Linked DNA regions of Caenorhabditis elegans. The protein of the gene in region 1 interacts with the protein of each later gene in a pairwise test. Each region holds a gene or a part of one and is shown in the gene's direction. Other genes may lie near its edges. The genes, in order: pccb-1, C29F9.5 and mmad-1.

Region 1 (4,407 bases):
CTTTGGCTTATGTTGGTTTTTCGCTATAGTGTCAAAATATTTGAATATCATAGTAAAAGTTTTCAAAATTTTTTTAAAGTTTTCATTTACTGTCGAAAAGTGACAATCGCACGTGGTGTCAGAATGTCCCATTTCGTTGTGATCTACCAAAACTGCGGGAATTTAGACGCAGACTTCTCAACTGGTCTCGCATGGTTAAGAATGAGCTGACGTCACATTTTTCGGGGAAAAAATTCCCGCATTTTTTGTAGATCAAACTGTTATGGGACAACCTGACACCACGTGCAATCGCTCAGTTTTTGCACTCATAACTTTGGAAGTCGACCAAAAAAAAAGTTCTACGATTTTTATACTTTAAATTTGATTTAATTATTTGTTGTAAAACATTTTAGGGGTTAGAACATGCAATATTGCTCTGTGTTTCCTCAAAAGCTCTTTTTTGTTATTTGGCAGATTGCTAAAACATTAAAAAAATCTAAAATTTTCTGGTTGGTTTTATTATAATCTCCGATTTTTTTCAAAACATAAACATAGTTCAAATAATGGAACAAATCTATATTGTGAACAAAAGTGAGGAAAAATTTTATAAGTTAATGTTGTAACAATAAAGATTACAAAACTATTTCCAAAGTTTGTCTTCTCTCAGATATTTTTTGTTTCCATACACTATTTTAGTGCAAAGAGCAAAAAAATTTTCAACAAAGTTTCTGAGAGAAATTCTAGAAAATGTTACTTTGGAGTGATTTGGGAATTTTTAAAGTTTTGAAAATGTACCATATTTTGCATGTAGAATGCCACATTTTTTATCAAAAATGAGCCTAATGTTTTGAGAATTTTTAAAAAATCCTTTCGATGCATTTAAACATTTTCTATCAGGTTTCTACTTATATCGTGTTATCGTTTACTTTTTCCTTTTCAATTTGAAAAACCAAAGACATCACTTTTGTTATTCTCTCTACTTTTTCTTTTGAAGAACCTTGATTCGCAGGACATGTTTCAATGAAGTCGGAGAAGGTAAGAGAAAAGTGACAAGTGGTCTACAACGTTTGTTTTCAATTTGCGACACTGCACGCACAAAAACGCTCCGTTGAGAACCGATTTGATCTTGCTCTACGGCGTACAGTTTTGTGTTGTTATTATGTTGTTTTGATGTTGTTTCGATGGTCCGTCAATATCGACTGTCCTTCACAGTTAGTCTTCGAGCGGTGGTCTCTTGTGTCGCCTTTTTTTCTCATTTGTCCTCCCCCCCTTTACCACTGCGCAAATAGATTTGGGATCTAATGTATGTAAGTGCGCTCTACCGCAATCAATGGGTTTCTCCAAACAAATGCCCTTGCCATTTGAGAAACGAAACAGAATCTCTTGAAAACATTTCTGATAACCGATTCGTTTTAGTTTTCTACAATCAACTTCAAAGAATAATCATTATCTATCGATTCACTGATATAATTCTCGTGTTGTGACCTTATCAATCGACAAACAAGTCGATTACTCTGAATGTTCACATCAAAAACTCCTCACCCGTATTGCCGGCGTTAAAGTGAAAATCTTGAAACGATGGTAAACTATTATTTTTTGTTTTGTTGCCTACGTGCTGGCCCCCGACGTGTCCATCTCTATCTCTCTTCCCCGTGACCGTGGTGTGCACTGCTGCCGGGCGCGTTTCTCCCCGTCCTGTTCTCCTCACATCCCTTTCTGCGCGCTGCAATCTTCTAAATGTCACGCACACAGCAAAGTTGCACTACACTTGTTGGGACCTTCTTCTCTCCGAGCATTGACCGCTCAGTTTTTGTCCTCCCTTTTTCTCTTCTTACTCAAATTCTTTTTATTTTTCTTATCTACATTTGAAAAACGTTTCTTACTTTTCACTTTTTGAGAGCTTTGGGTATGTTGTCCCGATTTGCCCGTCAACTGGCGCTGCCAGTTTTCAACGGAGTTCTTCATGTGAGTTTATATTAGGAAATAAGTATAGGAAATAAGTTATAATGAACTATATTTTTCAGCCAACTCGAGCCACCAGTTCGATCGCTCATACCATCAAGGTTGCCCATAAGATCGATGAGACCAGAGAGAAAGCTCTTCTCGGAGGTGGAAAGAAGCGCGTCGACGCTCAACATGCTCGCGTAAGACATTTTTCCAAAAAAAAAAACCTACTTATATGAAAAAATTTTGCAGGGAAAGCTAACAGCTCGCGAACGCATTGATCTTCTTTTGGATAGAAACACCTTCAGGGAGTATGACATGTTTGCCGAGCACACCTGCAACGACTTCGGTATGCAGAAAGAGAAATATCCTGGAGATTCGGTTGTCACTGGACGTGGAGAAATCAACGGACGTACCGTCTTTGTTTTCTCCCAAGACTTCACTGTTTTCGGAGGATCTCTGTCATCCATTCACGCCAAAAAGATCGTCAAGATCATGAGAGAGGCCATGCTTGTCGGAGCCCCAGTCATCGGACTCAATGACTCCGGAGGTGCCCGTATCCAGGAAGGAGTTGAGTCGCTTGCTGGGTATGCCGATATCTTCCAAGAGAACGTGATGGCTTCTGGTGTCGTTCCTCAAATCTCTATGATTATGGGACCATGTGCTGGAGGAGCCGTCTACTCGCCAGCTCTAACCGACTTCACTTTCATGGTTCGTGATACCTCCTATTTGTTCATCACTGGCCCAGATGTTGTCAAAGCTGTTACCAACGAGGAGGTCACCCAGGAGGAACTTGGAGGAGCTAAGACTCACACTGTCACCTCTGGAGTCGCTCACGGTGCTTTCGACAACGATGTTGATGCGCTCATGAGCCTCAGAGAGCTTTTCAACTATCTTCCACTCTCCAACACTGATGCTGCTCCAATCCGTGCTGCTGAGGATCCATGGGACAGAGCTGTTCCATCTTTGGATACTGTTGTTCCATTGGAAAGCACTGCTGCCTACAACATGAAGGACGTTGTTCACGCTCTTGTCGACGAGGGAGATTTCTTCGAGATTATGCCAGACTACGCCAAGAACTTGGTCATTGGATTCGCCAGAATGAACGGACGCACTGTCGGAATTGTTGGAAACAATCCAAAGTTTGCTGCTGGATGCCTTGATATCAACTCTTCCGTGAAAGGAGCTCGTTTCGTCCGATTCTGCGATGCTTTCAACATCCCAATCATCACTTTGGTTGACGTTCCCGGTTTCTTGCCAGGTAAATTTTCCCGATTGAAAGTATTTCAAATATTAAATCAAATATCTTTTCAGGAACTGCCCAAGAGTACGGAGGTATCATCCGTCACGGAGCCAAACTTCTCTACGCTTTTGCCGAGGCCACCGTTCCAAAGATTACCATCATTACTCGCAAAGCCTTCGGAGGAGCTTACGATGTCATGTCATCAAAGCATCTTCGTGGAGACATCAACTACGCCTGGCCAACTGCTGAGGTTGCTGTGATGGGAGCCAAGGGTGCAGTCTCCATTCTTTTCCGTAATGATAAGGAGCACGCCGTTCAACACGAGGAGGAATACACTGAGCTGTTCAGCAACCCGTTCCCAGCCGCTGTCAGAGGATTCGTCGACGACATTATCATTCCATCAGAGACCAGAAAGAAGGTGTGCGAGGATTTGAACATGCTTGAAAGCAAGAAGTTGAAGAACCCATGGAAGAAGCACGGAAACATTCCACTCTAAATTTCCAGCACTACCCACTCCGCCTTAATCCATACTATTATGTTGCCATTTCACCGGCCTGCTCGGTATTTGACGTGTTTACTTGTGAATTTTCATCCCACATACAAAATGCGCCATTTGCGTATTCCAATTGTTCGAGTATTATTTCCTTTTTCCGTTTTTTTGTTTTGTAAAGTCATAATTGAAAATTGTATTTATTACTGTTCTCAGATAAATAGTAGATTTTTGTGTTATTAGTACGAGCTTTCGAAATGGGACAAATGAAATCATATGTGATAATTGAGGCTAGCTAGTTGGCGCTTTTAGAGGACTCCGAAAAATTTGGCAACACTGGTTAGAATGGCACGCTGGACTGGTGGGATGACCTGCTCAACATCTTCTACGCTTGGAATTTGAAGCTTTGGAAGATCCTCAAGTTTTGGGAGGGTCATTGGTGGAAGTGTAGATGTCATTTGAACCGGCATTTGTGGAAGAGCACCAATTGGCATTTGTGGAACTCCTGCTGCTGCTGCTACTCCTGGCTGAGCGACAACTTGTGGAGCTTGGAACATCATTGGTTGTGGGAACTGTGGGAGTGGGGCAAATCCAAGTTGTTGCTGTGGCTGAGCTGGTTGCTGCTGTTGCTGTGGTTGTGCTTGTTGTTGCTGCTGCTGCTGCTGCATCTGTTGTTGTTGCTGCTGCTGGTTAGCATAAACTGGAAAATGGGATATATCTCATTGTGATTCTGAAATTAGGCGATGCTAAC
Region 2 (3,715 bases), on another chromosome or scaffold:
AGTGTTCAGATATCTCGGATCTTCTAAAGACTCGATTCTCTAGTTTGATTTTGCAGATCGCTGAGCAATGTCCTGTTCCGCAGTGCTCCACGATGAAGGAGGTGATCGGGCATATGATGACGTGTTGGAATGGGTTTCAGTGTCCCTGTAAGTTCAGAAGAGCCCCCCCCCCCCCCCCCCCAATAGTAACCTTATCCCTTCAATTTCAGCCGAACACTGCACTTCGTCTCGTATGGTCATCCACCATTGGACACGCTGTACCAATGCGGAATGCCCGATTTGTGGAGCACACAGGACTGCACAGAATATGAACGCGTTGAGCACAATTCCTATCGTCAAGGATCCCGAGCCAAGACCTCCAGGAACCTCACAACCGTGGCACAGTGAAGTTCCGAAAACCGATAGAGAGGCAGTTATTGAGAGAATCTCCAAACACATCATGCTCCATCCGCAAAGATTCGAGCCAATTTGGAAGATAAAGGAGGACGCGAGGGCTGCTGAGCTTCAGATTTTTGAAGCAGCGGGGAGTAGGGATGAGTACTACCGCATGGTTGAGGAGCGAGCTCCCCGCGAGCAGGACAAAGCTCCTGAGGGCCCTGGCCAGGAGGCACAAAAAGAGGAGAAGGGGGCTGGAGGTAGACTTTTAGTCAGGTGTAATTTAAGTAATATGGAAGATTTTCAGAGGAAGATCCTGATGAGGTGTTTGATCATATGGAAGGCACTTCCAAGGACTTCCAGGGCTCCACAGACTGATGATCGCCAGCTTCACAGAATCTCAAATTGCAATACTTCTCATTTTAAGGACTTCTTTACAATGACTTTTTCTTATGTTAATTGACATTTTTATATCATTGCTCAAAAAAAGTATAGAAAACCAGTAGAATAAAAAAACAAAAAAAAATTTTGTTCAGAACTGGGTGAAGGGCTACTTGAAACTTCAGTATTTGGAAAAAAGTAAAAAATTCTGAAAGAACCTTTTCAGTAGATTCTTAGTCGGCTTCAGCATCACAGCTTTGGTCCCTTTGCACCACAATTGCCCCCATGGCCTTGCGGGGAATCTAGGAGGTACGGGACCCAGGAGGTACGGGCCCCCACAGGTATGGTCCTCACAGGAACGGGCCCACATGTACGGGACCTAAGAGGTACGGGTCCCTACACGAGCTCCACAGACATGGTCCTTTCGGGTACGGGGTCCACAGGAACGAGAACCACAGATATGGCCCAAAAAGTACGGCCTCACATCTACTGCCCCTACAGCTACAGGCTTCCGAAGATTTAGCCCCACACGTACGGGCCCCACAGCTTCGGGCCCACAGCTTCAAGCCCCTAATAAGCTATGGTCCCTTCCAACACAGACAAAGCTCTTGGGCTCGCGGTCCTTATCATTCTGCTCCAACACGCCATGCGTGGGCCAGCTCCACATTATCACCCGTCATTCAAAACGGTTCCAGATACTTTGTCCAAAAACTCGTTCAAAATTGCGATACATATCACGCAACACACTTTTTATGGGAAAATGTGTGATTGAGAAACACAAGCCGGTGCCGGGGGGGTCTCCCGCTCTGTGTCTCTGAGACTCCTATACATTTACTGTGTATATTGAATAAAATCAATGTATGTGTGTCCAATTTTGCGTGGGCTTGGTACAGCTCATTCATAGCGTGACACTGGTTCCAGATACTTTGCCAATTGGTGTATTTAAAGAAGTGTGCCAAATTATTTCATTCATTTCCTTAAATTTTCTTTTAAAATTTGAAATTCGTTGCGTTTTCAGCATCTCCTGGTTCTACTCCAACTTTTGACCCATTCTAGAAATGTCGGAATCCCTTGAGGAAGCGCTTAGTAAGTTACGATCCTTCGCACCTCTAATCTCGCCTGAACCTTTCAGTCGAGGACCTCTCCAATCTCCGAATCTGTGTTACCTCCGATAACGTCCAGCAACAACCCAGGGTCTCAACAGCCACGATGAACACGCTGATCTCCCGTCAACTAGGGCTTCTGCTTCACGCCCACGAGTGTGTCCGTCGGGATATTGTGAGTTTCTGGGCTCCCGGGGGTTCTAAGAAATATTTTACAGAAAATCCGTGAAGCTGCCGAGAAGAACGAGCCGGCTCCTCATGCAATGTGTAAGATTCAGGATTGTGTGATCATGAAGGAGGTGCTGAAGCATATGACGTCGTGCAAGGAAGGACCCAAGTGTAACTGTGAGTGAAAATAGATGAAGGATTGCTAAAAGGATCTAGACGGTGCCGCGCTTGAGTTTCAGCAGGCTGAAATGACCCTGAGCCTTGTAAGTCTGGTCCCATGCCTGACCCTACATCATAGCCTGATCCTAAGTCTAAGACTAAGCTTAAGCCTAAGCCTAAGTCATGGCCTAAGCCTAAGTCATAGCCTAAGCCTAAGCCTAAGCCTAGGCCTCAGCCTAAGCCTAAGCCTAAGCCGAAGCATAGGTCTTTCCTCTAAAACCCACAAACCCTGAAATTCCAGCGGTCCACTGTGCTTCCTCCCGCACCATCCTCAGCCATTGGAAGAAATGCTTCAACGAGGAATGCCCAGTGTGCAAGCCGATTATTGAGCAGCGGACTGCTCCTCCTCAGGGTAACTATTTGAGATTCTACCCCACCGGCTCAGTAAATCGGCCTATTCTTTCAGACACCACCCCTGCGGAGCCCAAAAAACCAGAACACGACCAGATCTGGCACCTGGAAGTCCCCAAAACCTACCGAAGCGAACTCATCGAGAAGATCTACAAGGGAATCATGTCCAATGTGAAGCCGGGTACCCTGTCCGAGGCCCAAATGGATACCTGGAAGGAGTACTCGAGATCTGCGGAGCTTCAGATCTTCGATACCGCCCAAAAGCTGGAAGCGTACTACCATATGGCTAGAGAGAAGGTTTGCCGCTACCAGGAAGGATTTCCAAGACGTCAGAAGACGGAGGAGAAGGATGAAAGTGATGGTTCAGAGAAGGAGGATGAGGCTGACGATCGCTTGGAGGGGACTTCCACGGACTACCAGGGTTCCTAATCACCTATCAAAAGATTTCATGTTCAATTGACCAAATCACTACTGTAGTGGCTGAATTTACCAACTGTTAGTACAAGAATCTTAACCATGTCTCTTGTAGCTTCGTTTAACCTAGTGTTTCCTGAACTTTGTATCCTTGGAATTTTTTTTTGAAATAAATTACTCTCTGGCATAATTCATTTGTTTTCAATTTTGATGCAGAAGACTCGAAGTGGAAAGACCTTAAATAAACAAAAAAACATAACCAAGGTCACGGGGAACACCTGGTGTTCTTTTTTTCACTACGGATTACATGTTAATTAATAACATCTAAGTTTACATGTTAATTTGTAGGTCCCTAGCCGTGTAAAAGACTGAAAAAAGCGTTTTTTCTGCAACACCTGATCATGGAAAATTATAATTTTTTATAAAAGAGGTTTTACAGATTTTATTACTGGTGGATGAGCGGCGCGATTCTGCATTCAATTGATATTAACTATAATCCAGTTGTTGTATGTTGTTGTTGTAAAATGGCGCCCCTTCTTTTTGTTTGCGAAAGCCACCTCAAATATTCGATTACTCCAATGGTATCCTTGTTCATTCTTCAATAATTTCTCATAAATTTTCACTTGAACATTGCATTTTAGTGCCTTTTGGGGAAAAATACACAATTTTCATTGATTTTCACATAAAATATGAAGTTTTATGAG
Region 3 (4,741 bases), on another chromosome or scaffold:
TTGGAAAAAACTTTTCGAATTTTGAAAAAAATCCAATTTTCAAACCTTCATCGGTTTTTTTCTCAAATTTTCAACTTTTCCCTCTAAAAATAATATTTTCAGTCTCTGTTAATTTTGTGAATATAGCTTTACTTGTTTTTCTTCCCATTTTCATCACTCACACCATTTCCCCCGAATCCCCGTTTTTCCCCACCAGCTCCTCACTTTGATTTGTTCAATTTATTATGCACACGGGTCCCCAAAATCCCCCTAAAATTATTCCGAGATATTCTTGTACCATTTGACATGTAAATATATATATATATATACTCCATTTTATTTTCCTACTGAAAATTTGAAAATTTCCAGATTTTTATAGAATTTCTATACATAGTTGTCTTGCACCATAAAATGAAGCGATCTTGTTTATAACTTTAAAAATTATTTTTTTAAATGTGGTCCAAAACCCCTTGTTTCAGATATTTTGCTAAATTTTATAACTCGATTTTTAATAATTAATTTCTGAAAAAAAAAGTCCGAGTGCCAGCTCCTCCCACTTCTTGGCTACCATTCAAATTTGGCTTTTTGAGACAATTTAGAGAAAATTTTATTTCCGATTACTAACTGGAAGGTTTCAAAAACTTCAAAAATATGCGATAAATAATTTTATTAAAGAAAAACCGTTCGAAAACTCAAAATTTTGAAAAAAAAGCTCGAAAATCGATATTTCTTTTTTGCAATTCTAAAAGTGTTTATTCTTTTTTAGAAAATTTTCAAAAAATATCGAGAACCTAAAATTGCATTCTTGGGTTCCAACATCACGAAAGTCCACTGAAAAAAACTCCGAAGTGGACTTTGAAAATCCGAAAACTTTCTATTCGCCTCTAGACAATTCTTTTTCACGTGCAACAACTGTGACCCTTCTTTCATCGTTACACTTGTTGTCTTTTCGCTCTCTTTTCTTGAATTGTTGCACTTCTCACGTTCACCCAACAGATTTTAAATCAAAACAAAAAAGTTGGCTTTGAACAAGACTTCGAAGACTTTCAGATTATTTCAGGCTTTTTAATGATAGTAAATTTGGATTTTTGGATTTTTTTTAACTTTTTGGCTTTAAATCTTTTCAAAGATTATTTTTAAATTTTATTTTCTTTTTGAATTTTTAAATTTCTCGAGTTTTCGAACTTTTGGAAGAATTCTAAGAATCGTTGTTCTTGTCTCGGTTTTTTATGTATTTAAACCTTTTTTATTTTGTGAAAAATTCGGAGAATGCGTATTAACTAACATATTTAACGCGCAAAATATCTTACGAGATAGTAATTCTCGAACACTATAGTAATTCTTTAAATTACTACTGTAGTGTCGATTTACGGGCTCAAATAGTGAAAAAAAAAATTATTTGCGAATAGTGGGAGTTACTTTGTTTTTTCGTATTATTATCTCTTTTTTTGCTTAGTTTTAATGTTCTATCGATAAATAAATGTTTTTTAAATCGAGGCCGTATATCGACACAATCGCTACAGTAGTCATTTGAAGAATTACTGTAGTTTTTGCAACGAGATGTTTTACTCGTTGAATATGTTGCACAGTACGCAATCTTAGAATTATGTGTTTAATACTCAAACACAATAAATTAACAATTTAGGTCAAAGAAAAAAAAGAAACACTTTAAGATTACTGTACTTCTTAAAAGTACACGCCTTTTTGATGATATAATCAATATGTCACAAGGTTGAAAAATAGAAACAAAAAATTAGGAATTTAGATAACAACTAATTTGATCAGTAATTACTAGTGTTCTCAGTAATAATAATAATAATAAAGTTCACATGATTCGTCGCGCTCGTTCTTCGGTTTCCCTTTTCTCGTTTTCTCGGCGGTCTCCCCAATTTCAGTGTTCTCTAACCGTCTGCGTAATTCTCCCTCTAGCTGTCACTCAATTTCCAACAAACATGTCTTTCAATATTTTCTTCGTTTTTTCTTGCCTTATTGATTTCTTTCGAATTAAAAGTAAAATTTTAAATTAAAATACAAGTTTTGTTGCAGGATGTTGTCCGCCAAAGGTCCCCAAATGCGTGCGTTTACCCAACGTGTTGCCGCATTTTCAACGCAGGTGAGAGTTTGGATAATGGCTGAAAAATTGCAGATTTTATCGAAAAATCTTTTGTTTCAGAAAAATTAATTTCTTTTTGATTTACCGAATAATTCAATTTTTCTTTTGAAAAAAAGTAAGCGTTTTAGCTGCTTATGTGCTGAAAATCATAAAATTCAAATTTTCAGCTCCAAATCGACCCAATTCCAATCGTGTTCGTCGGAAAGGGCACAACTCGTAAGAAATTCAAAATTTCGATCGACATTTTCACAATTTTTCCACATTTCAGCTCGCCAAAACTCGCTTCTCGGCCCAAATGACAGTCAGTACCCGTTCCAGGGAGACGTCTCGTTTGCTCACAAGGTAAATTTCTGAAAATTGATTTTCCAAACAGACACCCAAAATTATCTGATTTTTTACTCCAAAATCAAATTTCATGTAAAAAATTTGAATTTTCGAAAATTTACCCATTTAAAATAATTCCAATTTAATTTTAAATTTTTTCAAAAACTCAAAATTTGCAGCCATTGAGCATCCGCCAACAAGTGGAAAACTCAAAAATCGAGCGTGTGATGGACGATACGGAGCACAATTTGATCAATTTGCTCTCCAATACAAATATCGAAGTTGACCGTACACATTTGGCTCAATTGAAGGAAGAAGCAATGGAAGAGATTCAGGCAAATGCGGCTGACGTTGAGATTGAACTTTCCGCTATTGAAGCACCAAAGTTGCTCAAAAAAGGTGAGCTGGAAAGCTGGGATTTATAGAAATTCTGAAAATGAACTTTTAAAAAATTAGTCTTTCAAAAAATCGGAAATTGAGATTACGTTCGAGTTAATATTAGTGAAAAATTGAAAAAAAAAATGCTTTGCAGAACTATATTTAGCAGGGGTGTGCGGTAAATTTGGTAAATCGACTTTTTAAAAAATTTACCGTGGTCGTCATACTCGGCAAATCGCAATATTTGTGAAGCTCAAAAAGTGAATTTAAAATTTATTTTGAATTTAAAACTCATAAATTCAAAAATCATTTTTTTTTCCAGAAATGAAATACCTATTCCCACAAATGGAGACTCAAAAGATGAACAACGTGACCGTGTTCAATCTAACTCAAAAGTCAGAATTCGACATGAAAGCATGGAGTGAAGCAATGGAAGAGGAACGTGAAAAGCTCACCGCCTCATTCATCATGTCCGCCAACGCGATTTGCTCAACTCTCCATCGTTTCGGCTATTGGGCTGATTTCATTGATCCATCTTCCGGCCGCCCGTATATGGGTGATTACACCAATCATACACTTTTCGAGACCAATGACGCCTACAAACAAATGGGCTTCAAGATTGAAGACCTCGGATGCTGCAAAGTTCTGCAACACGCATGCTGGGGATCCAACGCATTTGTGGGAACTATTTTCACTGATGCTCCTGTTGATGGGGATGCCGTCAGGGATATTTTGAAGAAGGTTACTCAGGAGGTACAGGATGTTGGAATTTCTGAAACCGAATTTTTGAAAAAAAAAAACGTAAAATTATGTTTGAAAAAATTTATTTTGATGTTCTTCCTGCTATCTAATAATGATAATCATTTTTCAGATTTCCAAAAAAAGGACGAAAATTATGTTTTTATTTCTGGGATTCTACAAAATTTCAGAATTTCCTTACATTTTGTAATTTTTGTACGATTTTCGACTTCACAAAAAATAAAACAAAGTCTTAAAAAAGGTCGCTCTTTCAAAAACCAAAGAGATATTTTATTGAATAAATTTTCGACTTCCTTAAATAAAAAAGTTAATTTTTTTAGATTGACGAATAGAGATTCCATCGAGCAATTTTCCAGTAGAAGCCCCGCCCACAATATGCCATAAATATGAGTCGATTCTCCTTCCATTTTGCACCCGTTGTCCCTCGCTCCACGTATTTTCTAATTTTTTTTTGTCTGTAAAATTTTTAATTTAGACTAAAAATTTGCGGTTTTCAAATGAATGAAATTTGCAAGCAAGCACTGTCTCGAAATTGTAAATAATTTAATGGTTGTTTTTTAGAAAAAAATAAATGTTTGTTAGAATCCACAATTCACTTGTTGTCACCTTTTCAAGTTACTGATCTGACGGTATTTTTTAAAGTTTTCTTCTTTTTTGAACTTTTAAAGAAATTGGTTTAAGCTGGAAATTTGAATTTTCTAGCAAAAAAAAACATACCAGATGACGATCATCAGTGAGGAGGACGAGGCGGACGTCTACACGTCGCAGCGATCAGAACCCCCAGAGACACGGATTTTCGAGACGATGGGGTTTTACTGGAAACGGATTATGGTTTGTGCAGAATTTTTTTTTGCTTAAAATAATTTCGTGGCCGTGTTTTGAGAAAAACTCGGTCACAGGTTTTTTTCGTGATCGCTTCTAATTTTACAAAAAACTTTGAATACCCTACATAGTAAAAAAGTTTGTAGAAAAATAAGTGCTTTTCAAGAAAAAATACATTTTTAAAATGCAATTTTAAAAACACTTCCTAAAAAAACCACTTTTTCAGAAAACCCTACCTACATTCACCACCCAAATTGTGTTAATCTTCTGTGTTCTGCCCATCTCATTCTCCATCGCCATCTTCCTCGCCACCGCGATTCTCAATTTTGGAGTCGCTTTTATTGCACAAAGTGAGAATTTTGATTT

The links.
Region 2: the proteins of pccb-1 (region 1) and C29F9.5 interact in a two-hybrid assay, tested with the Caenorhabditis elegans proteins (one large-scale study listed by BioGRID).
Region 3: the proteins of pccb-1 (region 1) and mmad-1 interact in a two-hybrid assay, tested with the Caenorhabditis elegans proteins (one large-scale study listed by BioGRID).

What each region holds. Positions count from the first base shown.
Region 1 is NC_003284.9:3,088,550-3,092,956, forward strand, and holds pccb-1 (Propionyl-CoA carboxylase beta chain, mitochondrial), read left to right. Parts: upstream 1-1,877; 5' UTR 1,878-1,887; coding exon 1,888-1,944; intron 1,945-2,003; coding exon 2,004-2,123; intron 2,124-2,175; coding exon 2,176-3,184; intron 3,185-3,237; coding exon 3,238-3,662; 3' UTR 3,663-3,888; downstream 3,889-4,407. Other genes in the region: wrt-2 (WaRThog (hedgehog-like family)), read right to left, coding at 3,965-4,356.
Region 2 is NC_003281.10:115,742-119,456, forward strand, and holds C29F9.5 (histone acetyltransferase), read left to right. Parts: upstream 1-1,768; 5' UTR 1,769-1,814; coding exon 1,815-1,842; intron 1,843-1,888; coding exon 1,889-2,034; intron 2,035-2,077; coding exon 2,078-2,204; intron 2,205-2,487; coding exon 2,488-2,598; intron 2,599-2,652; coding exon 2,653-3,026; 3' UTR 3,027-3,173; downstream 3,174-3,715. Other genes in the region: C29F9.6 (histone acetyltransferase), read left to right, coding at 57-147, 210-635, 683-753.
Region 3 is NC_003281.10:13,546,290-13,551,030, reverse strand, and holds mmad-1 (Methylmalonic aciduria and homocystinuria type D homolog, mitochondrial), read left to right. Parts: upstream 1-2,025; 5' UTR 2,026-2,026; coding exon 2,027-2,092; intron 2,093-2,259; coding exon 2,260-2,308; intron 2,309-2,360; coding exon 2,361-2,434; intron 2,435-2,595; coding exon 2,596-2,815; intron 2,816-3,116; coding exon 3,117-3,547; intron 3,548-3,873; coding exon 3,874-3,885; 3' UTR 3,886-4,142; downstream 4,143-4,741. Other genes in the region: Y76A2B.4 (uncharacterized protein), read left to right, coding at 4,274-4,384, 4,602-4,725.